Ovis aries: one gene and its partner. The protein of the gene in region 2 binds, or shares a complex with, the protein of the main gene of each other region. Links are inferred from orthologs where the notes say so. Each region holds a gene or a part of one and is shown on either strand. Other genes may lie near its edges.

Region 1 (14,862 bases), on a different chromosome or scaffold from region 2:
TGAACAATTCCACCCCGTGAGCTGCAGTCAGGCTCTTCCCCATCAGACACACAGCACGGCTGTGTTTCAGGCCAAGGGATGAGCTTTGTGAAACACTACTTTGCTGAGCGCTTAGTCCAGACTACCCACTGGGCTGGGTGCTGCACATTGACCCTCCCTCAAATCTACAATACTATCCCATTTTACAGATGGGGAAATTGAGGCCCAGGGAGGTCAATGATTAAGTAATGCAAGGCCATATAAGTAGCAAGTGGCAGAAAAGGAGTCAAAAGTCAAACTAGGCATTCTAATAGTGAGGCTGTCAGAAACACAAGTGTGTCTTTTCACCATACCATGCTTCTTCTAAAATTGTTCTGATCTCTGATTCTTCTGGTTGTAATTTTACTTAAAAGCAAAGGGCCTGTGTCAAAGGCTTGGAAATCTTGGTACATAGAGAAGTAAAGAATCCGATGGGTTTGACTTACAGCTTTAACCATTCGATACATTTACAACCAGTATTTACGATTTTCAACGCAAAAAGAGATGACTGCAGTGAGTAAAACAATATACAGTCTTTGGAATCCTGAGGTGTCAGGCATTTTTATGTAGAAAACACAGCATACTGTGTTTTGTGTGGGCCTCAGGTACTCTAACCTCTTCTGTCATCAGGACATTCACCAACCATCATTCACCAGGGACCACCAACCAACATCGGGTTAAGAGTAAATCAGGATTTTCATTCATTCAGCTAAATTTACTGAGGCCTGAACTATGCGTCCTGCACCTGACCAGGTACTGAGGGATCTATACGCAGTCTCGGATTGGGATACTAACATGCCTCGGCCGTGTCTGGTTCCCATAGGACAACAACAAATTTTGCAAAGTGGAAGAAGGCGTGTAAGAATGTAGCAATTTTCACAATGGATCTCTGGACTGACAGCTCCTGACTAGCTCTGAAGGGTGAGGGCCCCAGACATGCGCCTTTGCTTTGTAATCTCTTCCTCTGTAAGGACCGTTTGTAATTCCAAATTCCTTCCGGCTTGATGTTCACGCCCACGGGCCCCTTTATTCCCTTTCCCTGTCCTCTTACTGTGAGGGAGAGTGCGTTTCCACCACAAAGAAAGACTCCTGTGAACGCAGGTGTCATCGGGGAGCTGGCGGTGAGGTTCAAGCCTAATCGCCTAGCAATTTGCTTGCGAGCCTTCCCTCCCTTCTGAAAGATCCCTAGGGAAGAAAAGTGAACTTGCCTGTTAAGAAAGATGCATAGGCCATCGTCTTTTTTTTTTTTTTTTCCGAGTCAAATCAGGCGTAAGTGCCTTGCTGAAGCTATTCTCATAATTAGCATTTAGACTAGATGTAGGCTGCACACCAAAAAAACATTTCCCAACCATGCATATGCTCCTGGTGATTAAAATGCGCCTCGGTGCTGTCGAAGGAGCGCAGTCACCTTCTGCTGCCAGCTGCTGCTGGGCCACGAGTTAACCCACAACAGCCTCCCACGAACCAGACAGGAAAGGGCTCCAAGGCCAGAGGGGAGGACATGCGGGGGGCAGGGGGAGGGCGCTGAGCAGCAGGGCCAGAGGGGCTGGGGCTGGGACAGCGCTTTCCACCTGCGCTTCAGAGTTTTCTTTGGGGATACCGAATGTCCCCTTTCAAATTTGTATGTGAGAAAAGGCATGAAGGTGCGTGTGTATGTACATCGGTGTGTATGTGCACCGTCTCAGAGTGGATATTATGATTTGATTAATATGAAAGTCAAAGTCACTCAGTCGTCGCTGACTCTTTGCGACCCCATGGACTGTATAGTCCATGGAATTCTCCAGGTCAGAATACTGGGGCGGGTAGTCTTTCCCTTCTCCAGGGAATGATATCTCCATTAATTATATTGATTAATATAAAGCCTTTGAAAAAACTACTTACCTATATTTACATATGTGTGTGCGTGTGTCTGTATCTATCCCCTGAATACTCTAAGTCAGTCCAAATTTCAAGGACTCTGAGTGACTTTCAGCACAAATTTAACAGTTCTATTTTTGACAACAAAGGTCCATCTAGTCAAAACTATGGTTTTTCCAGTGGTCATGTATGGATGTGAGAGTTGGACTGTAAAGAAGGCTGAGCACTGAAGAACTGATGCTTTGGAACTGTGGTGTTGGAGAAGATTCTTGAGAGTCCCTTGGACTGCAAGGAGATCCAGCCAGTCCATACTAAAGGAAATCTGTCCTGAATATTCATTGGAAGGTCTGATGCTGAAGCTGAAACTCCATTACTTTGGATACCTGATGCGAAGAACTGACTCATTTGAAAAGACCCTGATGCTGGAAAAGATTGAAGGCGGGAGGAGAAGAGGACGACAGAGGACGAGATGGTTGGATGGCATCACTGACTCGATGGACATAGTTTGAGCAAGTTCCGGGAGTTGGTGATGGACAGGGAAGCTCGGCATGCCGCAGTCCATGGGATCGCAAAGAGTCGGACACAACTGAGCGACTGAACTGAACTGATTTGTGACATCAACTGCCTTGATTTTTGGTAAGTATGGTCCCATATCTACAATGTCAACACTGAGAAGGCCCATCAGCATGCACCACTCTGTTGCTGGAAGTGAAAAGATACCTTATGTTTACTTCATCACTCTTTCTTTCTCACAAAACCATGCCTCATCTAATCCAGAAAAGTCATATATCCAAGTTTTTCTAAAAATGTAATAGGAGAAGTCAATTCCTCCACTGTGTACTGTTACCCAAATCCATTGCCTTAGCATGGGTAGGGAAATACGCTGTAATCCCAGGATAATATAATGAAATCAGGAAGGTTTTTCATTATGTCTAATTTAACACCCATGACTTGAACCCATTTTCTCTTTTACTGAGAACAGCATTTTTTTCTGATTATGACAGTCATATAACAAAAAAAACCCCACATAAACATAAAGTCTATTAAGGAACTCATCAAACTGTTCTCACTAGTTCTCACTGGGGGATGAAGTAGGTCAGTGAAGTGGTGAAGACTCACCTCTTTCCTTATAGGAGCAATTTTTAAAGTGGGAGAACTATGGGTGCTTTTCATCTTCTCTTCTTTTCACTATTTTCTTAAGTTACAATACTCACTGTAGAAAATCCAGAAAAATCACCCCCAAAAAAGTAAAAAGTTTCCACGACTCATGAGATAACTAATGGTGAACTTCCATTTAAGCTTTTTTTTTAACCAAAGTAAATTTTCATATTACATATTTTTCCCCGGCTTTTACACTTGACGTTATGTCATCAGCGTTTCACATATCTTTGCTCTTTGAAATATAATTTATAAAGGCTATATAAACTTTAATTGACAATCTAAGCCATGATTTACCTAATGACTACTGCTGACCATTTATAACATGTATTTCCTTTGCCTTTTTCCCCTTTCTTTTTGGTTTCATGTTTTTTAAAAAGAACCACACAGCAAACAATTTGCATGTCAATTTTTGTCCATAATTTCTGACTACTTCTTAGGATAGAGTCCTAAAAATGGAATTAGTGACTCAAAGAGTACCGAGGTGATGCTGACTCTCTTCTAAGACGACAGTGTGTAAGTACCCACCCGAGCTTTTTCTCCTGTCTAGACACTGAAGGCAGGGGAGTGTAGCGACTTGCGCCCACAAAACAGTATTCCAGTGTTTCTCCCTCTGCGAAGGTCACCTTCAACTACACATTCGGCTTGTAGGGGAAAACACAAGCGTATGTTAGGGAGAGAAATCTGATCTGGTGAGTCAGGCCAGGAAGAGCCACCCTCACAGAAACAGGAGGAAGGATGCGGCCACACGCGTCCAGCCCAGGGTGCTGACCACATTGTCTTCTCCTGTCCTGGCCAAGTCCAGCCAAGCCTCAGCCTTTCCAAAAGGTTGGTCGTCAGTTCCTTGATGCATTTAAGTGGCTCTTGTCTAGAAGTCTAATTTTTTTTTTTTTAATCCTATCTGATTTTGGTAAATCTAGGCTTCTAGTCTACACAGGATTACTTAGCAATCATCGGGAAAGACCTACTGTACCTAGACCCACTCAGGCTCCTCTCTGTGATGTCTGTCCTTCCTGGCCATCTGTATTTGCCTCTGCTTTATCAACACAGTGTTGGTAAGAGTAAAAAAAGAAAGAATAAAGAAAAACAAAAACCTACAATCCACTACTGTCAGACGGGAAGGTTTAAGAGAAGAGTAAAATTGAATGTAGGAATCTCAAATGGTCTTTCCATCCAAAGGTGTTGCAGTCTCCCACAGTTCTGGGACCCTGGCAACTCTGTTTGCATAAACTCTTTCTGCAGCAAGAGGCACAGGGAGGGTGGATTTCCTACGCTCCACCATCGGTGAGGGCCAGCACAGACAGGACCCTGATCTGCTCAAGGTCAGTTTAGGCAAAACATGGACCAAGATGTCAAGAACTGTATCAGGTAGGCATCATTCTGCTTTCATTCATCTTCACCAGCTATGTGCTGGGAGAGGGACACTGGCAGGGAAAGGCTAAACTAAGTGTCGCCTGACACTCGCGTGCTTACCTGGGCAAAGAGCACTACTAGGCTATCGTTGTCGGGGAACTCAAGGTGCTTGGAGTAAAAGTGATGGAGAGCAGCAATGTCACTCTGAATCAAATCCCTCTTCTCATTGTCTAATTTATCCAGATCTGTGGATAAACAAACCATTATTCAGCACGTAGAAAACTCTGGATCTCTAGCTATACATCCTTTCAGTACTATCAACGGCATAGAGAGAAAGAAAAAAAAAAAAAAAAAAACACGTGGAGCCCCCAGGAAATATTATCCCTCCTCCCTTGGTCTAACTAATAAGCCCTAGGGCAAAAAGAGCATGCCATTTCTTCCTTCTCTTCCTCTGACAAATGGAAGTCACTCAGGACAGGGAATTTCAACTGACCATTAACAGTGAGGTCAGGAATAGTGGCAGTGACTGATAACCAGCCTTGGTCTAGTCAAGGGTCCCCCAATTGGCCCCAGAGTCTGTATCATGATGGAGAAAGTGGACAGCCCCTGATTTAATGCCTCCAGTAAGGACATCAGCTGTGTACAGGACTGCAATTCAGCAAAGATCCAAAAAATATTCAACATGCCAGGAGAGCCAGCAAGAGATAGCTCAGGATGTAATAATTTATCCTGCAAGTTCGCACTTCCCCTTAATTATTTCCTAGCAATCCTGTCAACTGAGGGGGCGGGGGGAAGTTATAGTCCATTTTCCAAAACAGCACACAAGTCAAAATAAAAACTGATAACTATAAAATCCCCACCACCACAAAGAACCCAGCTATCCCTTCCTTCTTTCAATCCTGTCTAATCCACAGAAAACATGTGGCTGAAATAATTCCTCAGCCAGTCACAGACAGACTTACGTGACTCAAACTCCTTCACGGCTAACAATTTCTCTGAAGGTGTTCTCTCTGGGTGGATTTTCTAGTAATTGGGGAAGAAATCACACAGTTACAGACGGCAACAACTTGTGCAAAAAACAGTGCTTTCACGCTTACATCAACATGAAGAAAAAAGCAACGGTTCTAAATGAAGTAAAGAGGAAGCCAAGGATTCTGCCATTTGGGCTCTGAGAGCATTTGCCCAACGTCCAAACCCAAAGGACTCTTTTGAAAAGCTTTTAAAAGCATCGGCTGCGTTCCTAACACCCTGATAATGCTATGCACACAGTAGGCTCAAAAATGCTTGTTATGGGAAAGAACAGTGGCTAGAAAACAACTTTTTAGGGCCCCGACTTAAAAGGACCGAGTCTACAGATGAGCCATCCCATTTATTATCTCTCCTTCTAAAAAGGAACAAAATCAACACCCCCCCATCCATTTTACACTTTCTTTAAGCATAGGCTAAAATGATCTCAAATTCCTGCGTTTCAAAAAGAACACTTTCGGTTGTATCCGTGAGCCGAGATTCACTTGAAACGTGTTGCCGGCTTTGTTCTAGACACCCCAAGAGGAGCTGACAATAGTAAATCCGCCAGGCTTTGAGAACATGAATAAACTTGGTGTTGACAAGAGTTCAAACGCAGAGCTCAAGAGCCGGCCCAAGGCCGTGTCTTTGTAATCGGGCTATTCAGCTTGAGGATACAGGTGGTCCACCCAGGCGTGCTCACCTCCCTAGTTAACATGTTACGCTTCCCCTCGGTAGTTGGGTAGCCTGTCCCCCTCCTGAAACCTTTGCAAGTGACTAGAATACAAATGGTCTGTTTTTTTAATCATTAAGTCCTACAGAGATAAAAAGATGGCCAGGTAACTTTTCATTTAATAGACTATTAGTGGTAGCAGTAATTATAATAACAGTTGAATGAAACTGGTATAAACTCATCATAGCTTTCAGACTACCCTCCTGGGGCCAAAACATTTCAATAGTTCTTTTTTGGAGTGGAAATCTTCCCATTCATAGGATCCATTTCTATAAGATTAGTAAGTCATTTTGCCTGGGAAAACTTTTCATTCAGAAAAGGGCACCAGCTCCTTCTGAATTCTTAACCACCACACTTTCAATAATGTCAGGAGATGGGGCCTGGGGAGAACCAGGAGACTGGTCACTCAATCCTGGCAAGGTGCTTACGGATTGAATCTGATGGCTTATTTACCCTGACACCTTGGTGGCTCAGACGGTAAAGAATCTGCCTGCAATGCGTGAGACCCAGGTTCGATTCCTGAGTCAGGAAGATCCCTTCAAGAAGGAAACGGCAACCCACTCCAGTACTCTTGCCTGGAGAATCCCAGGGACAGAGGAGCCTGGTGGGACTACAGTCCATGTGGTCGCAAAGAGTCGGACACGACTGAGCAACTAACGCACACCCACATACACTCACCCAGTCACACCATTTTCTCCTACCCTTTTCTTCCGACCAAGTACTTGGCCTGTATTTAAAGACAACTGTGAGCAAGGAACCAAAAGTTAACCTCCTCCAGCGAAAACAATTCTGACTTTTCGTTCCCACTCTAAAGGCCAGCCTTGAGTGCCTCTGGTTACCCTGAGCGGGCGAAGTGGCATTTCATCAAGCACCTGACCCAGGCTGAACATAACGAAACTATGACCTCAGAGGTTCAAAATGTTCTACTTCTGTTTACGAGGTCGAGGAGCCTAACTTGGTCTGGGGACAGATTTGAGTCGACCATTATGATCACGTTTGGTTTCGATCAAAAAAAAAAGAAAACAAAAGTTTTTAAATGGAGGGAGGTGTGGTAAGGGAAGACAGAAGGGGCAGATGAAATTTCAGCTTTAAGATTTCCAGTACAGAGGCCCTGCCCGCAGCTTATCACTGGCAAGCAGCTCTGTGGACATTCGCCTTTCAAGCTCCGTGCAGCCCATTTCACCGTCACAAGGACACATCTTGTGGCATTTTCCTCCCCTCCATTTAAGCTGGTCCTGTCAAGATCAGGTGTCTTATTATCATGCAATCAGTACGGGACTGAGCCAAAAAGGGGTCAGGACAGCCAGCCCTGGCTTCATCTTTGGAGGAAACTGTTGATGGCCACATCGTTCCCACCCCACCTCCCCGGCCTTGATTTTTACTTTTCCACTCCTCTTGTTTCTCTCCCAGCAGGTGCCATGCTGGTTATCTCACCCCATTCCCTGCCCGCCGAGGCAGGACAAGTATGGAGACAGGGAAGAGCAGGAGCCAGCCCAGGACGGGGGGTGAGGGGAGGTGGCAGCAGGGGTGCATGCTGTAAGAGAAGGAAAGAGGGGACCTCCCAAAGCTTTGAAGGCCAGTCTGGTTCCCTAGGACGCTCTCATTACTGTCACTCAGGTTTTCATGCCCTGAGAGGCCGTATTTTTCTATGCAAACCTGTCTCATATAAAAGCTCAGAACTTAGCAGCGGCTATGTTCCCGGCCGGGGATGAGTGACATCCTAGGTGCACAAGGCAGACAAGCCAGCTCACTCCTGGAGCCTTGCACTCATCTCTGTCCATAGGAACGTGACGGGAAATGCGGTCCCAGAATGCTGAGCGAGAGATGATCACCACGGGTCACTCACTCATCTTTCTGACCTCAGAGTAAAAAAATAAAACACACTTGAACCTGTTCCCAATTCCTCACCTGTTTGGCCAGAATCCTTGCTGTCAACCTTACAGTCTCGGAGGGATTCCAATTTTCCCCAAAAACAACCATGGGAGAACATTCCAGCTTGTGCATGGGCCAATCTTCTCTCTGGGAAAGTTAAAAAAAAATATATCACACACACACATGTGCATGCACGCACACACACACACACACACACACACACAGACACGGCAATAAAGTTCGAAACAAGAGGATGCAGCAAGTTCTCCTAGTTGAGGTCAAGTGAAATATGTTTCCTTTTGGAAAACACGACGGTGCTCACAAAAGTTAGAGACGAAAACATCCTTTAAGATAGACGTGGCTGTATGACCTTGACTCAGGCCTGGCTGAGCTTGCTGGCAAGAGAAAATCTGCTTTGTGTGGTTTCCTCAAGCATCTCACGCCCCTCACTATTCCGAACACCACGCACACCTTTGCATTATCTGTGGACGCTGTCATGCCAGTCACGGGGTGAGTGACTTGGGTATCAGCTGTTGGTCTGGCTCTGCTCCCTACGGTTCTGGTCTGGTTCTGTTCTCACATGAGGGCAAATAACTGAGAAGTGACATCCACAGCACCTCATCCTCTTCTATGGGTGATAAAATCCTACCAGAGACGAGGGCTTGATCAAGGACCCGTGAAAAGTCTGGCCAGGGCAACTCTCGGGAATATTTAGGACACAGACTCCCTGAAAAGTCACTGGATAAAAGAGGAAAACTGGACGCCTTTCTAACACCGGTCTCAATGCTTTTTGCCCCAGGCTGCGGGGTGAAGGGCATGTGCTCACTCCTCGAAGGGTGGAGATGCCCCTTTCGCGACGGGAAGACTGGGGAAGGAGGAGGGTGGGGTGCTGGGGAGGAATGCACTGAGGACCGGGGCGTAAAGGACGATGCTGGTGCTGGTAACAGGGTCAGCGGGGGATGGCTGGGAACTGGCTGAGCCACTCAGGCTCTGATAAAAACCAGCTGTGGTGGTGCGATGGGCTTGGCCGTGGGAGCGGACTCAGTGGAAGTCTGCAGACACTCCTTGCTGCAACGGAACTGGGTACCATTGTGGGCTTCCCTCTGCCTCTCCTGCCTCAGAAAGGGGCAAGTCTGACTTTTCCAATGCTCAGGCCAGAAACCTGGAGACTTCCTGGCCGCCTCTCTCTCCCCCACACTCCATGTTCACCTTTCCAGTGAATCCATCCTGTCTGCCTGCAGAATACACTCAGCCTCTGATCATTTCCCACCCGCACCTTCCTCACTGGGTGGCAGACCCTACACCTACGCCGTGACGGCTCCCTCTGCCTCCTACCTGGACACCTGCTTCTGCCCCCTCCACCCCCCACCCCACCCCTAGCTCCGCTCCAGAGAGCAACCGGAGTAATCGATTCTGAAAAACACAACTCAGATCCTGCATTCACGGCTCAGCATGCTTTAATGGCTTCTCCCCTCGGAGCAAAAGGCCAGGCTGTAATGATGACTCACGAGGCCACACGTGGTAGGAGCTGACTCTCTGCTACTCTGAGCTCATCACCCCCACCACGCTCCCCTACCTCACTCCACCCGGCCACCATGTCTCTTCGCTGCTCCCTGGAGCGACCACGCTTGCTCCTGCCTTGAGAGCTTTGGCACTTGCTGCATTTCCTGGAGAGATACCTCTTCCCCAGACGTCCTGTTGGCTCCCTCCCTCCTCCATGTCTCTGCTCTGATGCCCCTTTTCAAGGTACCCTCCCCAAACCAGTGCTCTCCCCCCACCACTCTCCCTTTTCCTTGCTTTATGTGTCTACCTGACATATTTATTACACACTGATTAGATGTTTGGTTTACTACGTTTTCCCCCCTGCCCCCACTATTCATCTGCCCAGAACCTAGAACTGTGCCTGACAGTCACTAAGCACTCAATAAAGTTGTTGAATGAATGACGATGTCTCCCTCCCCACGGCCAAGAAGGAAAGACACACTGTCACTTAATGATTTAATGCAGCCCCCGTGGCACAGACCCTGGGCTCAAGCACTTGCCAAGGTGTTCTGCAGAGTTAAATAACAGCATGCCGAATATAACCAAGAGCAAGAAGAGACAGAAATGACAAGATATACACAAGGGAGAAGAGGATCTGTTTTTAGCCAAAGCCTAAAACGAGAGCTCGGTGATGAAGCAACGAGGTAGGAACAGGTAGGTTCAGCTCCCAGCAGACAAACCGACTCCGCACACAAATGCAAAGCAAAAAGGGAAAGACAACAAGGGCTTCTGGCCCTGGGGCATCCGAAGGAAGTGAAGAACGCTAGTGGGGGACAGACGGGCAACTGACGCCTATGAACACACACAGGAATTTCACTGTGACCCTAGCTGTGCTAAGAAAAGGTGTTTGCATGGCCTTAAACATGCTAGTTTCCTGAAGTATACATGGTGTCTTTGGCGTTTAACAACGAGCTTCGGTGAGAAAAAAGTTTAACATTTCTTAATATGACTTATGTGTTTTTAATACAATTTAATTAATACGAATATAAATAAATAAATACGAACACACAATGCTGACATCTATTGATGTTAATGTCCTCCAGGGAAGAGAACCTCACTACAGCGCACGCTGTGGGGGAGAGCAGAGCTCTATTTAGCAAGAGGAGACTGGCCTGGGGCTCGGGGAGACCTGCATTCTCACCCCACCCTCCAGCGAAGCAGCTATGTCACACCAGACAGTCCTCTTAATCCCTCTGCCTGTGTATCCTCGGCTGTAAATAACATGATCCCTAAGTTACTTAGCAGGTCTGGAATTCCGAGTCTACGATTGTATGCCTTCCAACAGTGATAATCAGACACAAAGCTTGAAGCCTACCATTATCAGGCATTCATGCAACCACAAAGGGTCGTTGTGAGGATCCAATAAACAAGCTAACCCACAAGAAGCACTCAGACCAGTGCCTGGCACACAACGTGCTCTCAACAAATGCTGGTAATTGTTCATGTCCTGGTTCCTTCATTCATTCAATAAGCCCTTGATGACCCCAGAGGCAGGGATGGGAGATGGAGTCTTTGACTTCAAGTCGTTTATGACTGTATCCGAACACAAAGAAAAGCAAGAGCACCTAGAATGTAATGAAGACCCACACAGAGCAGTGAAATCAGAGAGCTGGGTAAATTCAAGGACCGGCAGCATTATGCTAAGTTTCATCAGGGGAAATTTGTCAGCTAGTAAGAAGTTTTCCTTTTCTGTCAGATGGTGGAAATGTCAGAGACATACCAAAGTGGCACTACTTGGCTTCCAGTTTTCCTTCAAAATTTAAGCTGTTACTCTTTTAATGGTTGCAATCTTTATAAAACTTTATGAAAATTCAGATGGATCCCATTTTCTAGGAAAGTAATATATTATAAACAAATGCATAGGGAAGATTCAGAAAGACACATGCCAAAGTGTTACTAGCGGTTTTCTCTGGAAGGATAAAATTATGAAGTATGGATACTCTTTCTGTTCCTCTTTCAGTCTGAAACTTCTGATTTTTCTATAATGAGCACAGATGATTCATGCAATAAATTTAAACAATTAAATCTATGTAAAAAGTATGAGAGGGAATTTTTTTGACACCCTTTTAAACTTCTAGTTCATTTTCAGCCACTGTAACCACAGCTCTGCATGACTTTCCTTTTTGTGCGTGTGTGGACCGAAATGCTTAAAGATGCATAAAGAGTTGAAAAATTGTCTCATGGTACACCAGCACTTCCAACGCTGGAAGAAAAGAGTGATTGTTATGTCAGCCAGTTTTCTGCTGAGCAAATGATATATTGTCTCCCTGTATAAGGAGACTGGATTTTTATTGTGAAATCCCCTTTTCTAACTCCTGCATTTGGTGTTACTCTTGTTCTAAAGGGGCTTTCAATTTAGACCATAATTTCAGGGGAGCTATTTCAAATCCTGAAAGATGATGCTGTGAAAGTGTTGCACTCAATATGTCAGCAAATTTGGAAAACTCAGCAGTGGCCACAGGACTGGAAAAGGTCAGTTTTCATTCCAATCCCAAAGAAAGGCAATGCTAAAGAATGCTCAAACTACCACACAATTGCTCTCATCTCACACGCTAGTAAAGTAATACTCAAAATTCTCCAAGACAGGCTTCAGCAATATGTGAACCGTGAACTTTCAGATGTTCAAGCTGGTTTTAGAAAAGGCAGAGGAACCAGAGATCAAATTGCCAACATCCGCTGGATCATCGAAAAAGCAAGAGAGTTCCAGAAAAACATCTATTTCTGCTTTCTTGACTATGCCAAAGTCTTTGACTGTGTGGATCACAATAAACTGGAAAATTCTGAAAGAGACGGGAATACCAGACCACCTGACTTGCCTCTTGAGAAACCTGTATGCAGGTCAGGAAGCAACAGTCAGAACTGGACACGGAACAACAGACTGGTTCCAAATAGGAAAAGGAGTACATCAAGGCCGTATATTGTCACCCTGCTTATTTAACTTATATGCAGAGTACATGAGAAATGCTGGGTTGGAGGAAGCATAACCTGGAATCAAGATTGCCAGGAGAAATATCAATAATCTCAGATATGCAGATGACACCACCCTTATGGCAGAAAGTGAAGAACTAAAGAGCCTCTTGATGAAAGTGAAAGAGGAGAGTGAAAAAGTTGGCTTAAAGCTCAACATTCAGAAAACGAAGATCATGGCCTCTGGTCCCATCACTTCATGGGAAATAGATGGGGAAACAGTGGAAACAGTGGCTGACTTTATTTTTCTTGGCTCCAAAACCACTGCAGATGGTGACTGCAGCCATGAAATTAAAGACACTTACTCCTTGGAAGGAAAGTTATGAGCAACCTAGACAGCATATTAAAAAGCAGAGACATTACTTTGTCAACAAAGGTCTGTCTAGTCAAGGCTACAGTTTTTCCAGTGGTCATGTATGGATGTGACAGTTGGACTACAAAGAAAGCTGAGCGCCGAAGAATTGGTGCTTTTGAACTGTGGTGTTGGAGAAGACTCTTGAGGGTCCCTTGAACTGCAAGGAGATCCAACCAGTCCATCCTAAAGTAGATCAGTCCTGGGTGTTCATTGGAAGGACTGATGTTGAAGCTGAAACTCCAACATTTTGGCCACCTGATGCGAAGAGCTGACTCTTTTGAAAAGACCCTGATGCTGGGAAAGATTGAGGGCAGGAGGAGAAGGGGACAACAGAGGATAAGATGGTTGGATGGCATCACCGACTCAATGGACATGGGTTTGGGTAGACTCTGGGAGTTGGTGATGGACAGGCAGGCCTGGCGTGCTACGGTTCATGGGGTTGCAAAGAGTCGGACATGACTGAGCGACTGAACTGAACTTATTTATATACATGCCTGTGTGATTTCCTGAAAAGCAGAGTAGCATGCATAAGTGATTTCATAAAATGTGGAATAGTAAGAAAATGTCACAGGACTACTGTTCTTCACCACTATTCTCTGTGAGAGGAAGAATGCAAAAGGAATCAGGGGCTTAGCGACTACCTCACACCGGGATGACACCGGGATGACAGCCACTGCTGGCCCCTATCTGCTTTGTTTTCTCTTTCCATAAAAGAGTGATGGGACACACTCATTGATTCTTACTGGTGATGTTAACCATTTATTCACAGGAAAAAATCAGTGGCTCCTTTGAGGATGCTTCCTATGTCTGAATGAAGAGAACAGAGTTTAACCAGGACTAAACCCCATGACTCTAGCCCACTCACTGATCACCCAAAAAATGACAGGGTCATGGGAGCATTTCTTAGACATTTTCTACACTTCAGTTACTTTGTAATTGGTGATAAAAGTCGAGAATGTTCTCACATGTTTGGTCACATACTCCTTATACATGCTTTCTTCAATCTTCATCAGAACATGCCCCCTCCTGCTTTCAAAATCACACTCGTAATCCTAACACCTCCACTTACAACACACAAACCGTTTTCTTCTATTTTTCAATGTTAAGAAATAACACCTTAGAAAGTTCTACTCCACAATGATTCCTCTATGTAATAACTCTAAAACTCTTCTCTTCAATGTGCCGTGGTACAATTTAACAAAAAAGTCTGAGTGAACAACACTCTTAGTTTTCTAGGCATATTTATAAAAATAAATATAGTTCATTAAAACACACAGCTTACAAACTGAGCCTAACAAAAAAGGAATTTCTATTTGTTTTATATTTCCTCCCATTACCCCTTTCATGCATTGTCAATTAAAATCTCTCCTCTGGCAGGATCACACTGAGTCAAATGAATGAAAAGGAGAATAAATGGGACAAGACTTGAGCCAAACTGTATAAAATAAAGCATGGTCCTAGAATCTCCTACAATCAGAGAGGATGGAAACAGTGAGGAAGTCAGCCACTGTTTACACAATCAGAGAGGATGGCTGGGTGCAGGAAGCAGAGTCCTGAGGAGCTCTAACATGCTGCATTCCTGGAAGGACGCTATCAGGCAGGGATGTGGACCTTATACTTAAAAGGATCTTCCCTTTCACCTCCATGAAAGGCCACTTCGTCTCTGACTCATCCCTACAGCGCCTCTTCTCCTGGAGGGTCCTCAGGACCCCCAGGCACAGTGCTGGAAAGCAGTGAAAGCCCTCCCCAGGGATTCTGCACACTCTGGTCTCAGTTTTGTTGCTGTGTGACCTTGGGCAAGTCACTCAGCCACTGGGGACACTGCTTTCTTATTTACTGATAAGCTCCTTTCAACCCCCATCGTCTGCTCTGTGGTGTGGACCCCCTGGTGGCTCCAGGTGGGTGGGGTCTGCCTGTGAAGAAGGCCCAGTGAAGAGGAAAAGAAGCTGACGCTGGGAAAGACTGAAGGCAGGAGGAGAAGGGGACGACAGAGGGTGAGATG
Region 2 (14,862 bases):
CCCTACTTCTCAGGGAGAGCAGGCTGGAGGGAGGACCAGAACAGGAGGGGGAACCAGCAGTGGGAGGTGGGCTGCACTTCCAGGAGCCTGCATGCCAAGGCTCTGGCCTCCCCTGGCGAGGGGAGGGTGCTACGCGGGGTCTCAGCACGTCCACAGCTCTGTACTGGCCGCTCCCACCCCGGGCGCACAAGCAGGACGAGCAGGTGCAGAGGCGTGGAAGCTCCTCCGTCCTGTGGTTTCCTTGAACAAGAATGGGATGATTGGTGAGCGAGGCCAGCATCCTGGGTGGTAACAACAAAAAAAAAAGGAAATTGGTAGAAAATGCATCAGCCAAGTTGGATTCAGTCAGCTCTGTGGCCTGGGCAGGTTCCCAGGGTATTCCAGCCAGACGGCAGGGCTTCTGAGAGACACCAGGCTAGAATGTGTGTGATGACATAGGGCAGGGAGAGGCAGGGCCGTGGGGCTCAGCAGGGGCTGTCCCGGGCCCCCCAACCCACTGGTGTACACCCCCCTGGCCACCCGTTACCTCCGGGTCCACCCCAAGGCACTGGACATGTGCCCTTTTTTCTAATGGGCACAACCTTTCTCTATCAGAAACCCACAGGGAACATAAGTAACCCAGCAATTTCTTTCTCGTCCCACTGCCTGTCCACTGCTTGCTTATCCTGGGCTCTGTTTCCTTTGGACAAGAACACCTCCGGTTACCAAAAGCTACGTTATTCTATTCTACAGCCTGTAAGCCAGGAGCCTGGCCGTTCTGGTTTTGTTGTTGCTGTATTTGTTTTGAACATTAGCCGTTTCCCATTCTGGGCAGTTACAACTGTGTTTACTATGAGTTCCTCTGTGTGGGAGTTTTCCCCATTTTCATCCTACAGGCTGCGGCGTGAGCAATAACTCATCACTGCGCCACTGGCACAGAGTCGGGGATTCATAAACTGGGGGGCCTTTAACTTGAAAATACCCAGTGCGGATGAGGGGAGGGGAGAAGGAGAAATATATTTATGGGAGGGCCAGTGGGCTAATAAGACCAAAAATAATGTTGCTAAATAGATGTATATCTGGAGGTAAATACCGTGTCATCTGCTCCCTTCAAGGGGATGTGCTTTGAGCAGGACAAGTTGGCTTCTGCAGGCTCACTCGATAGAACATCCATCGCTGCAGTCTCGAGACAAGACTGCTCCATCCTGCCTTCCTTTTGCTTTCAATACTTCTCACCTCTTATCACTCACCTTCCTTGTCTCCTGAACGTCCAACTTTAAGAGTCCGGATTCTTTCAGTTGCAAGTCACAGAAATCCAACTCACACTATCTTAAGCAAACAGGAAATTTATGGATCTGTGTGTTAAAAAGGATATGATGGAAGCTTTAAGGTCCGATGAAAGAAGTAGGGACGAGGACTTTACAAGGGCAACCACGATTTCTCCCCTCCCCCTCCATCACCTCTGCGGGTTGTTACTTGGCTCCACTCAGCAGGGGGAGCTCCTTCTCCTGGGAAGGTGGCACTTACAAGCCCCATATCCTCATCCTCCAAGCACCTCCACCCTAGAGGAAGGAATTTCCATCGACAGCTTCGTATTTGTTGTTGTTGTTGTTGTGCTCACTTGTGTCCAACTCTTGGCAACCCTGTGGACTGTAGCCCACCAGGTTCCTCAGTCCATGGAATTCTCCAGGCAAGACCACTGGAGTGGGTTGCCATGCCCTTCTCCAGGGGATCTTCCCCACCTAGGGATCAAACCTCCGTCTCCGACATTGCAAGCGGATTCTTTACCATCTTAACCACCAGGGAAGCCCAAGGAAGCCATATACAAGCCCTGAAAAAGCTCTGATTTTCTAGTACGAGGCTAATACTATCCAAAGGAACCGAGTGACCAGATTGTCTAATTTTAGTCTGAAGACTATCTGTGGCTCTAAGAGCAGGGGTTTATGACCAGAAGAAAGGCAAGAGGGCACATAAATCCACACTTGGCAATGAAAACAGTGCTCCCCAGGGTCCCTTCGCCTTTCCTATCATAAACCTTTCAGCTGAGCCTGAAAAGTACGAAGGCCCCAAACCTGACCTGAAATGTAGCAGCAGATTAAGTCCTACCTGCATCACTTAATAAATCCCTTTTTCTCACTCTGTGCATCTCACCTAGGGTGTCACGTGTCTTCTGAGAGTTACCATTATAAGACTGGATGTGGAGTCGGCACATTGGGGTTATTCTCAATTCTGCTCTGTCCCGTCGAGTTCACTCCACAAGTTAATACAGTTTCTTTGCACTTTTGTTTCTTCGTGTGAAATGGAGGGATAATGCTGCCTTCCTGGAGCTGTCATCAGCGTTAACAGGATAGTTAGCATTGGCGAAAGTCCTGTCAGAGAAGAGATGGCTGGTACAACCGTCACGGCCCCAAGGCAAGCAGAGCCTTTCTAGGAAATCTTGATGACAAACCCTGGAAACTGGCTCACACACAGGAGGTGACATGAGTTTCCTAGACACATGCTCTCAGACATGTATATTCATGAGGATATTTGCATAGTTGCCTGGACCAAATAGATCCTCAGCTTCTCAGTGGTTGGGCTTGGAGGGTGGGGGCTTCAGAGGGGCACTGTCTCGGTATCACCCCACACACATCCTGGACCTTATCCTCTTTGAGTTTCTCTCTCTCTTCCTCTGCACATTCAGGGGTGTACACATTTCTGTCCAGCACTCTGAGGTCTCTGGAAGAGAAGGACCACATCCACCGCGTCCTGGACAAGATCACAGACACCTTGATCCATCTGATGGCCAAAGCAGGCCTGACTCTGCAGCAGCAGCACCGGCGTCTGGCCCAGTTCCTCCTCCTCCTCTCTCACTTCAGGCACATGAGGTGAGGCCTCCTTGGGTTTCTCTCATAGCAAAGATGTAAGGGAATCCAGCCAACCCTGTGTGGCAGCGGGCCCGGGAAGGGCTGATGCCTGCGTACAGATAACACACTTGGGGCAGTTCTGGGCCCATGATGAGCATGAACACCGTGGGAGGATGGTGGAGGGAGGCCCTGAATTTGTCCGGGGTGTGGGCGGGCGTCAGAGAAGGCTTCACAGAGGAAGCGCTAACTCACGCTCGGTTTGGAGCCCATGCAGCATCTTACATGGGGCAGAGTGTGCGGTGAGCAGGTCAGGGGAGGGGGAATCCTCTTTGGTTATTCACTTTGTCCCAGCCAGTCACGGGCAGTCTGTGAGCACACTCGTCCTCAGAGGGCACTGGGCACATCTGTTGCAGCTCCCGTGTCACACTCTTACTTATGGGTGTAAATTCGAATGAGACACTCTGGGTCCAAACCCCTCATGGACGGTCAGCCTCGACTCTTCTAGCCCTCTCAAACCATTCTTGTCATCCCCTTTGCCATGATCCAAGTCCGAGCCTCCATCATTTCCTCCAGGATGTCTGTCCCAGCTGCCTAACCTATCTCTCCAGATTTAATTTCAGAGCCATTAACAGCCTTTCTCATCTATTCTCCACAGTAGAGCCAGTGTGATCATTTTGATACCAAATCTGATCACACTGTTTTCCTACTTAAAGCCTTCAAATGGCTTCCCCTTGCTTTTAGATGAAAATATAAATCCATTTACTTTGCTTCCATTACTTTTTATCCTCTGCTGCTGCTGCTGCTACTCTTAGATGTTAAGTCGTCTCCGACTCTTTGCAACTCCAGGGACTGTAGCCCACCAGCCTCCTCTGTCCATGGGATTTCCCAGGCAAGAATACTGGAGTGGGTTGCCACTTCCTTCTCCAGGGGATCTTCCTGGCCCAGGGATGAAACCTAAGACTCCTTCTTGGCAGGCAGATTCTTTACCACTGAGCCGCCTGTAGCCTTACTTAACTTGTAGGACTTCCTGGGAGTCTAGGCTCTGGCCCTGATCAGCTGTTCTCTGAGTCAACGGGGAGGTGCTGCAGGCTGCAGGTTGGCTGCACAGCTCTTTTACTTCCTTGGACTCACACATCTGAAGGTCAGGTGATGGAAGCTGGGCACAGCTGGAGGCTCTGCGCCAAGCTGCAGGCCTGAAGGTCAGCTGGGTGACTAACCCGAGTACCTTTTGTCCTCCTTGTACCAACAGGAGAGCTGGGACATGTTCTCATATTGATGGCAGAGGCACCAGAGGGCGAGTCAGTTTGGTGAAGCGCATTTTAATCTTTTAGTTCAGTCCATGTGCATGAACATCCCACTGGGCAAGCAAGTCATACAATAACACCCAAAGTCAAGGATCATGGACACAGGGCAGAGAGTGACTCTTCCTGGACAGTAAGCTAGCCTGTCATAGCTTAGATACGACTCCTTGCAGGAAGCATCTCCTGACCCTTAACACGTAGATGGGATTTACACCCTGTTCTTCCAGATTGTTATTGCCCATTATATTATCTGTCAGCACCATTAGACTACAAATGTAAACTCTGTGAGGCAGTTCTCACAACCCGTTTTGTTTACTCTGTGGACCCAGTACCCCGAAGCATGGGGCTTGGCACAGAGTAACTATTCAATAAATATTTTCTATAGGAGATAAGAAAGGTTGATAGCAGAGGAAATAGAGCCTTTATGCACCAGAAGGCGAAAAGGGCCTTGTTTCTATTCTAAATGCTTGGCCAGGGACTTAGTGGGTACTGTTCCCATGAGCAGAACTTATCCTTCAGGGAACAGATGGAGAAAGTATTAGATTCTTTACTCCAGAAAGACCACACCTGCATGATGAAGTCCCTATGACCTTAGGCTTACTTCAGGCCTCCAGGAATGAAAAAGAGATTCTGTTTCTCAGTGGCTCTGAGGGAAGGGCCAAGGTGTCTGGAAAGAGATTAATTTTTTAAGGGGTCTTTAAACCTTGAAAAACTGTGAGTCAGGTGGCGAGAAGTTCATCCCATCAGAGTCCCAGGTGGCCCCTTTTCTGGAGCTAACTCCACAAGTCGTTAGCTTCTTGAGAAAATAAATGTGTCTTTCTTTCGTTGTAACCCACTCAGTGCCCTGTATGAAGTGTTGGATGCGGTATATGAGCATCACTTCATTACTGAGTGAAGGAGCTGTCACTCATGAAGGAACAGACAAATTACGTGAGGTTTTCCCTGTGAATCTGAAATTCAAAACTGACGGCTCTCACTTGTCAAAGTGAGTGCAGTCTGTGTTCCCAGGAGTCCCCGAGAATCCGGCCAGGTTAAGTAGATCATTGCATTTGGAGTATACATTTTCAGTCCTTTCCCGTCCATTTCTTTTGATGAATATTACACAGAGGGAAGAGGGGGATGGATCAGAATAACATAAGCCTCTACCAACTTTCCTGACTGAGAGAGTAGCCTTCCCCTTGAAGAAAATATATTAGCTTTATTCTGAGCTAGGAATTTGATGGAGAAACCGTGTATCACAGATGAAGGATTTTTTTTGTTGGTGGTGGTGGTTGTTGGAATTGCTGAATTTTCAGATCCATTAACTGCTTGTCAGCATTAGGAAGCCTCGTTAGTTAATACCAAAGTATATTTGCACTGAATATACAAGCCTTGCTACTTTTACTGGCAACAGGTGGCCAAGGGCAATGGCAATGGGAGTTTCTGTTTGAATTGTGTGAAGGGCTAAAGAGGAGTTGCTGTTCTGTTGCAAGCTTTGAGCTGGCTTGCAGACTCCCTCCCTCCCTCTTTCTCTCTCTCTCTCACCAACACTGACAACAATATTGTGGTGCCTCATTACAGCCAATCTAAATTACAGAACTCTGTTGTGTTAAGCTTGGCCCCGACCATATGCTGTCATGCAGAGCATTTAACACCAGATTTCATCTCACGGTAAATGTGATTCATGGGGTTGCAAGAGAAAGACGGTGTCAGATCCAGGGGCATTTAACTTTAACAGCATTTTAAATTAAAACAAACTCAAAAAAAAAAAAAACCCCACAAAATCCCACTTTAAAACGTAATTTTGGTGGCTGTTATATGGCTCGAATTGCTCTGAAGCCTGATTGTTTTCATGGCATGCCTCCAACAAGGGTTGACTTTCCCCTGACTGAAAATGCAAGTAATTTTTAGGAGGCTCTTGGCCTGCCTCCTTATGATACACGATTCTTTTAAAAGGAATTTCAAGGTAGATAATAGTGTTTGGGTTTGTTTGTTTGTTTGTTTGTTTTTTCTCCTGCTGGTGATGTGGTGGAGGAGACAGGCAGAAGTGTGGCTGGTGGAGCAGGACAGTAGGGGAGAGTGGTCAAAGGAGAAAGGCCATTTGCCTGCATTTCCCTGTGTAGCCCATATTTTCTGAGGGTTAACCATGTTCTTGCCACTGTGCTAGGCCTAACGGGGTGGACAAATTGCTACCCCTCGTGGAGTTTGTACTGTGTGTGTTAGGTCTGTGTGTGTCTGTGCTTGTGTGTATGTGCTTGTGCTTAGGGAGCAAGAGTAAAAATACAGGGACTTCCCTGGTGGTCCAGTGGTTAAGAATCTGCCCTGCAGTGCAGGGGACAGGGGTTCAAATCCTGGTCGGGAACTAAGATCCCTCATGCCGCGAAGCTACTGAGCCCTGTGCCACAACTAGAGAGTCTGCACACCAGAACCAAAGATCCTGCATGCCGCAACTAATACCCAAGGCAGACAAGCACAGGTGCTTTAAAAAGAGTAAAAATACACATGTGCATAAATACGTACATAGAAGGATTTCAGGTTGACATGCATGCTGGGAGGAAAAGGAATGACGTTGAAAGAGGCTGGCTAAAGCCACGGGGCCTTGAGCCCTCTGCCCTTGGGGTCGTGGCAGGTCTCTCAGAACCGGTGACACCCGGAGATCTGAGAGAAGTGCCTCCAGGCAGGAGCGGGGAAGAACCAGTGCAGGTACCCTGAGTCTAGGCATAAAGAACTTGGTGTTTTTAAGGGGCAGCATGAAAACTCAGCTGGCTCAAGGTATGGGTTAGGGAAGAGGGACAAAGTCTGAGAGGTGGGTGGAAGGCATGTCAGTCGGGCCTTGCATAGCACAGACAGAAATTTAGATTTTATTCTGAGTTAAATGAGAAGCAGCTGGACAGTTGTGAGCAAGGGAACTTCTTGAACTGTTCTGCATATTTGAAAAGTTCCTTCCTGGACCTTCTTAGTGTTTAAGACTCCATGGTTCCAATGCAGGGGGCCTGGGTTTAATTTCTGGTCGGGGTACTAAGATCCCACATGCCAAGCGATGTGCCCCCCCACTCCACCCCCATAAAAAAACCTCTTTCGTACTTGGTGGCTGGGCAACCCACTCCAGTGTTCTTGCCTGAGAAATCCCATGGACAGAGAGAGGAGCCTGGCAAGCTACAGTCCATGGGGTCGCAAAGAATCAGACACGACTTAGTGACTAGATGAAAACAACAAACACAACTGTTCTCTTTTTAGATGTAGCAGTGATAGAAGAAAGAAAGTCACCTGTATAGTAAACCCTGAACTGGCTCTTGAAGCAGGAGGAAAGTTTGGCATATCAGTGTCCTGGGGCTTTTCTTAGTTGCCCTTCCTCAGCGTCTCAGCCATCCTGGGTCTGAGGCTGGTCTGAGTGGTCCTGTCTGTGTCTCCCCTCCTGCAGCAACAAAGGCATGGAGCACCTATACAGCATGAAGTGCAAGAACGTGGTGCCTCTCTACGACCTGCTGCTGGAGATGCTGGATGCCCACCGCCTGCACGCCCCAGCCAACTTCGGGAGCACACCCCCGGAAGACGTGAATCAGAGCCAGCTGGCCACCACTGGCTGCACTTCATCGCATTCCTTGCAAACATATTACATCACTGGGGAGGCAGAGAATTTCCCCAGCACAGTCTGAGAGTTCCCCGGCTCCCGGCCCCCACCCCCCACCGCCAAGGTTCTGAGAATCCCTGTTGCACTTTACCCACATCATGCATCACTCTAGCCGAATTCTGCCCCTGCACACACTCTTGGCATGCACCCACCACTGGCTTTCTGGTATGGATGGCCATTCATTCGCTCGCTCGGTTCTATGTGGCACGCCTTGTTTTGGGAACAGCCAAAGGGATTCCAGGGCTCATTTCTTTGTAACCGTTCTCTCTCTCTCTGCCTTTGCTACCTTACTCACCACGAGGATTCACCTAGCGCTTCATGACTGAGCTCGGTCTCCGAGCTGGGTTCAGGTGACTGTGCACTTTAGCTACTTGTGACCCAGGCCTGGAGAGTGGACATGTCACCTCCATGAACATGAAGCACTTGTTAACGGATCTGAGCATCAGCCACAGGAAAGAACTGGAAGTGGCTCCTTTAATTGCTGACTTGGAGAAAGCGAGGCCTAGGGTTCATTATAATGTCCTCTTGTATTCCTATAGGTCCATATCATTTTATTAAAGCTTTTTCTCTGTTGCATGGCTGTAGCAGAATATTCAGTGATTGTCCACCCACTTCCCCTATAGGAATACAAGATGCACACAGGGAAGGAAGGCCCCTAACTGTCAAGACTTTGTCAGCTTAGTACACTGCCCCTTCAAATTTGCTAAACGCTTTACCATTGAGAGCACTAAATATATATAGGTCGTGGGTTCCAATTAATTCTCGCTTCCCATGGATCCATGGAAAGCAGCAAAGTTGATCCCAGTTAAGTAACCTCCACATCCACCAGTTTAGATAGATACTTGTCTTTTGTTTTCATTTTCATTTTATAAAACCAAGCCTCACCTCCCCCTTCTCCCCCCGCCCCTCACCCCAGGACTTGCAGTAAATGGGCTTCAGGACCTGTTCTAGTGTGATCTCACTCCTACCAGCAGAGGGCGCTCTACATGACTCTTCCTGGTGTGTCACTTACAAGGTGAATTCCTAGTGCCTAGGCTGTGAAAATCCTTCTTGGAAAATCCCATGGACTGAGGAGCCCGTTAGGCTACAGTCCATGGGGTCGCAAAGAGTCAGACACCACTGAGCGACCTCACTTTCACTTTCAGGCTGTGACCAAGGGCAAAGGAGCAGGCACTCTGGTGACACTTTTAGCCCCGGGACTGTGGGCTTAATAGTAAACGTGCATGATTCTTGTAGGGGCTAGAGACCAAAGAGGGGCAGAAACTGGATAAAACTGTGAGGCTCAGGATGGCCCTGCCACAGGCTGCAGCCACTTTGGAGTGCTACGGGCTGACCCCACAGTGTAGTATGAGGCTGCCCTGGGGTCCATGGAGGGCTGTCCTCCTCCTCCTCTTCCCTTTTGTGCTCCCAGTGACCCTGGTTGGAGGCAAGTGCTCCTTGGGGGAGGAGAGCCAGCGTTGGAGCTTTCTGAACTCAGCCTGCCTGGGGCCTGGTCAGACCACACCTGCCCTTGGTTATTTAGAGCTCATGCAAAAATCAGGGTTTAGCCTCGAGGGGGGAGGAAAAAAACCAAAACTTCTCCATACTCTGTTTCATTAAACTTCCTAAGCCAAGAGAAAAAGACTAGAATTGGGCCATAGGAATCCATTGGACCTATAGATTAAACAAGAAAAGCTCACTAAACAAGAAGCAGCTTCCCTGGGTCTTTGCGTCTCTAAAGCAGTTATGAATTAGTTCCCCTTCTCAGCTATAAAGAAAGTTTGGTTTCCTCTGGTGACCACACTGTCTGTAACTCGAACCCTGTTGATAGGCAATGTGTTAGGCAACAAGCCCAGTCAAGGTTCTAGGGCTTCTCTTGGGATGCCTGTTTCAGAAGTGGATTTCACTCATCTGATTACCCAGTAAGTGACCACCAAAGGGCTGGGAACCTGGGAAGTCCAAAAAAATAAAAAGTTTTTTCACAAGTGCATCTAAATTTGGGGGCGATTTTATGTATCTGCAGTAAGAATGTTTAGAACATAATTCTTATGTTGTTTTTGTTTAAGAAGCACCTTATATAGTATAATATATATATTTTTGAAATTGCAATGCTTGTTTATCAGACAACTGAATGTAGTGATTCTGTTTTGGATTTAATTTGACTGGGTTAACATTCAAAGCCAACAAAAAATATGTTTACTTTTTTGGTATCACTACCTTGTCATGTAGTCATTGATGCCTAAGGCCTGGTGATTATTCATTTAAATGATGATCACATTTTCATATCAACTTTTATATCCACAGTAGATGAAATAGCACTAATCCAGATGCCTATTGTTGGATATTGAATGATAGACAATCATATGTAGCAGAGATTATGCCTGAAAAGGAAAATTATTCAGGGCAGCTAATTTTGCTTTACCAAAATATAAGTAGTAATATTTTTGGACAGTAGCTAACGGGTCAGTGGGTTCTTTTTAATGTTTATACTTAGATTTTCTTTTAAAAAAATAAAAACAAACAAAAAAATTCTAGGATTCTAGATGATGTAATACCAGCTAAATCCAAACAATAATCCAGCAGAGGGTTTTACATTTTTCACATAAGATGTTTGTACTCATGTAAAGACACTATTACATTTGAAATGGGCAGAGAGCACCAGATGGTTGGTATGTTAGCCCAGGAGTTTCAAGTAATTTTAGAAATCTCTTATTCTTAAATGAAGTGCCACTGATGGAGAGCTGATACTTTGCAGCTGATGTTACTCGGATGTAGGGATATGCTGTATTCTTCCCCCCTACTCTGATACAGTTTAAAGTTTGAAAGACAAGGTCAATCAGAGAGGGAGTGGATGGGTTAGTAGAATAGAGTGGGGAAATGGGTTTGGGCATTTTAAGAATGAAAAATATCGTGATAAGAGTCTTGAAAACATTTTGAGGCAGATCAGCACTGGCACTTGGGGTGTGCACCAGGGTTCAGTATTTCACTTGTGTCCCGTTCACCACAAATAGCTGTATATGACAGCTGATCCTATAATGGCAGCTCGAGTTCTGGGGCAGAACTAGAGGCATGTGCAGTACAGTCCAAGAAATAGCTAGTGGTCTGTGTTTCTTTTAGCCATCGCCTAGCTCCAGGCTTGCAGTAATGATTCTGTAATGCTGTCACGGAACAATCATAGAGGTTAGTTCATCCAAAGAGAAGACCCTACGTAGGTTGCAAAACCCAGCCCCTGAGGAAGTGTAGTCATTGATTCAATTTCCCTATTAACCTTGCAACTATATTTAACCATGCCATAGCCCGTGCCTTTTGAGGGCTGAACAAATAAGAGGCTAACTGATAATCCAACTTCTGCTCCCATTTAGATGTTCTTGCTTTAAAATCTTTATACGCTGAAATGGCTGTTGGTTTAGGCCACTGGTTTAGACTATCCCTACATGAAACCAATCCCAAATCTCTTCCTAGTCATACTCCCCACCTCTGAGATGGACTGTGGGTACTGGGAGTGATCACTAGGACTATAGTTAACGTTTGATATTCACAGGCAGATTTGCTTCTGGAAACTAGTTATTAGAAACACATGTAGAGTCATATGTAGCTTCTGAGACAGCCGTGATTCTCTTGGGTTCAAGTCTTGGGATGATGACCCAGATGACGCTGCACACTTCCTGGGTGAACTTCCTGAAAACTTACTGTCAACTGGAGCAAATGACTTCAAGTGCCGTCCCACATATCCACCTTTTCATAGTGTTAGTCTCTGTTTTTAATTGCAGTTCCTTTCCATTTGGATTAACGTGAATGTGGCCTCCTTCTAAGTCACTGAAAATTGTTTTCTAAGTAACTGCTGCCTCTATTATGGCACTTCAAGTTTGCACTGTCTTTCAGAGATTCAAGAAAAATTTCTATTTTTTTTTTCTGCATCCAAATGTGCCTGAACTTTTAAAATGTGTAAATGCTGCCATGTTTCAAACCCATCTTCAGTGTGTTTTTACAGAGCTGTGTACCCTGGAAACCACATACAGCCCCATGAACAGGTGCCTGAGGCACGGACCCCTTTGCATTCACAGAGAGGTCATTGGTCATAGAGACTTGAATTAATAAGTGACATTATGCCAGTTTATGTTCTCTCACGGTTTATAAACAGCGCTTTTTGTGCACTATGTATTCTTCAGTGTAGAGCTCTTGTTTTTACGGGGAAAAGCTCAAATGCCAAATTGTGTTTGATGGATTAATACGCCAATGCATACTATTATTGATGTGATTCTGTTTTGTTGCAGCTTTGCTTTGTTTAATGAAACACACTTGTAAACCTCTTTTGCACCTTACAAAAAACAAAAAAGAATCCAGTGGGATGCTCAAGCACCTTAAACAATTTTCTCTACCTATTTGATGTTCAAATAAAGAATTAAATGAAAGCCTTTTGTTTGTTTTTGTGTCAGCCCCCTGCTTAGCGCTGGCTGCCCAAGATCAGAGTGGTGACATGCATCGTCAGAGCATAGTAAATTCAGGTGATCAGTCTAATGCCAGGCTCCCCTCCAACCCCCACTGACCTCCCGCCCCAGGCACAGAAGGGAATGTGTGGTCCTTGGAGTCAGGCAGACCTGGCCACACTTCTCGGCTCCAGCACATACAAGTTTTATGACCATTGGTCATGAATTTTCAGAGCCTCTGCTTCCTCATCAGCAAGGTGATAACAGTAACACCTAATTCACAGACAATTGTGAAGATTATATGAGATGCTCATGAAAATAGTAGTTCTTTTCTTTTTTTTTTCGACTATGTTGACACATGTAAACCCATGGCTGACTCATGTCAATGTATGGCAAAACCCACTACAATATTGTAAAGTAATTAGCCTCCAATTAAAATAAATATATTAATTTTTAAAACTAGTAGTTATTTTCTAATGTTTAATCCCAACCCCTTCCTTGTGGGGAAGTAGAAAGCTTCAGAGTAGTTATGAGGGGATTCCCAAGTGGTGCTAGTGGTAAAGAACTTGCCTGCCACAGGTTTGATCCCTGGGTAGGGAAGATTCCCTGGAGGAGGAGATGGCAGCCCATTCCAGTGTTCTTGCCTGGAGAATCCCATGGACAGAGGAGCCTCGTGGGTTACAATCCATGGGGCTACAGAGTTGGACGTGATTGAGCACTGCGTGAATGCATCTGAAACTTACATAATCGTTCAGAAACCTTACCCCATCATGCACCCAAAGCAGAAAGGACTGGTTCACCCCAACCCCATCCCACCTCTGGTTTCCATTTCAGGACTCTTTTCCCTTTGAAGAGCCACCTGCATGTCCTCTTTGCCCCATTGTTTCTGTGATTTAACTGGTGAACTGGGGAGAGGGGGATAATGGGACTGAGAGGCAACATAATATGCCCACGGGGTCTGCAGCTGGATTAGCCCATTTGAAACCTCATTATACTATTTATGATGCAAACTTGGGTAAGGTACTTTCCCCGTGCCTCAGCTTCTTCACCTGTAAAGATGGACAATAGTACCTCTTGCCTGGAAGTGTTGCTGAGAAGACTACATGGGTTAATTCACAGAGAACACTAAAGGATAGCAGCTGGCATTGCTTCTTCCCCCTTTCCCGAATCTTCTCCAACTGCGTGTCTGCGCTCACCTCTTTATTAGGATGAGTTTAATTTTTCACATTGTTTCTCATTTGGATTCCAAAAAGCTTGTGTTCTGTCATCCCTGGGCAAGTTCTTCAATCCTGATTTTCATTGGCTTCCTTATATCTAAAATATAAATAAGAACAATACCCATTCTACAGGGCTATTCAGTTCAGTTGCTCAGTTGTGTCCAACTCTTTGCGATCCATGGACTGCAGCACACCAGGCTTCTCTGTCCATCACCAACTCCCAGAGCTTGCTCAAACTCGTCCATCAAGCTGGTGATGCCATCCAACCATCTCATCTTCTGTCATCCCCTTCCCCTCCTACCTTCACTCTTTCTCAGCATCAGGGTCTTTTCTAATGAGTCAGTTCTTCGCATCAGGTGGCTGAGGTATTGGAGCTTCGGCTTCAACATCAGTCCTTGCAGTGAATCTTCAGGACAGTGCTGTTTTGAAGATCAAAAGAGATAAATGTCTCAAGTGTGGGTATAGGACCTACCCATAGTAAGCTCTCAATGCATGTTAGGCACAATTAGGCAACTGTTATCATGCTCTGTGAGCACTGACATTTAGTGGGATCACTGATAGGTTTAGATTTACAGTTACCACTTTGTTATTTTGAATATGTCTCCTGTCTTTTTCATTGCTCTGTTCCTCCTTACTGGCTCTTCCTTTGTTTTGGTGAAATAAATACCTTTAGGGTATCATTGATATTTATCTGTTGATTTTTTTTTTTTTTACTATTCTAAAGTTATTTTCTTAGTGGTTGCTTTTATAGCATGCATCGTAACTTTTCACAATCTATTTTAGATTAATACTAACTTAAATTTGGTAAAATAAAAATCTTTGTTCCACCATACTGTAGCTCCATTCTCTCCCTTCTTCATATTATTATTGTCATATTGTCTAGATGTCATAAACCCAGTAATGTTATATTTATTGGCTTGTACAACTGTATATCTTTTAAAGAAGCTAAGACAAAAATGAGAAAATGTATATATTTATAGGCTTTCTAATATTAATCCAAGGGCTTCCTGTGTAGCTCAGTTGGTAAAGCATCTGTCTGCAGTGTGGGAGACCTGGGTTCAATTTCTGGGTCGGGAAGTTCCCCTGGAGAAGGAAATAGCAACCCACTCAGTATTCTTGCCTGGAGAATCCCATGGATAGAGGAGCCTGGTGGGCTACAGCTCATGGGATTGCAAGAGTCACACACGACTTAGCGCTTTTTAAAATATTAATCCACATATTCACCATTTTCAACGTTCTTCATTTCTTCCCGCAGATTTGAGTCACATGTCTGGTATCATTTTTTCTCAGCCTGAAGGAATTATTAAGAGTATTTCTTCTAGGGCAAGTCTACTAGTAATGAATTCTCTGTTTGTCTGGTACTGTATTTATTTCACCTTCATATTTGAAAGATGATTTTTCTGAATGTAGAATTCCTGGTCACCAGTTTTGTTTTCAGTATGTTGACTATATCATTCCACTGCCTCCTGGCCTCCATTGCTTATTCTGTATCTGATGAGTAGA

Evidence for each region.
Region 1: the proteins of ESR1 (region 2) and SMYD2 are in contact, whole or in part, in a crystal structure (PDB 4O6F), measured with the Homo sapiens proteins. The link is inferred for Ovis aries from reciprocal best matches to the Homo sapiens genes ESR1 and SMYD2. Residues at the interface, in NP_000116.2 of Homo sapiens: Gly262, Arg263, Met264, Leu265, Lys266, His267, Lys268, Arg269, Gln270, Arg271; in NP_064582.2 of Homo sapiens: Leu148, Val179, Asn180, Cys181, Asn182, Gly183, Phe184, Thr185, Glu187, Leu191, Ser192, His193, Ser196, Ala203, Ile214, Val215, Ser239, Tyr240, Ile241, Asp242, Tyr245, Arg253, Tyr258, Ile302, Arg306, His341, Tyr344, Leu379, Asn380.

What each region holds. Positions count from the first base shown.
Region 1 is NC_056065.1:68,716,283-68,731,144, forward strand, and holds part of SMYD2 (N-lysine methyltransferase SMYD2), read right to left. Parts: intron 8,144-14,862; coding exon 8,033-8,143; intron 5,410-8,032; coding exon 5,349-5,409; intron 4,632-5,348; coding exon 4,507-4,631; intron 1-4,506. UniProt on the Homo sapiens protein: Protein-lysine N-methyltransferase that methylates both histones and non-histone proteins, including p53/TP53 and RB1. Specifically trimethylates histone H3 'Lys-4' (H3K4me3) in vivo. The activity requires interaction with HSP90alpha.
Region 2 is NC_056061.1:76,879,649-76,894,510, forward strand, and holds the end of ESR1 (estrogen receptor), read left to right. Parts: intron 1-1,229; exon of another isoform or gene 1,230-1,334; intron 1,335-2,662; coding exon 2,663-2,846; intron 2,847-7,526; coding exon 7,527-7,761; 3' UTR 7,762-12,127; downstream 12,128-14,862.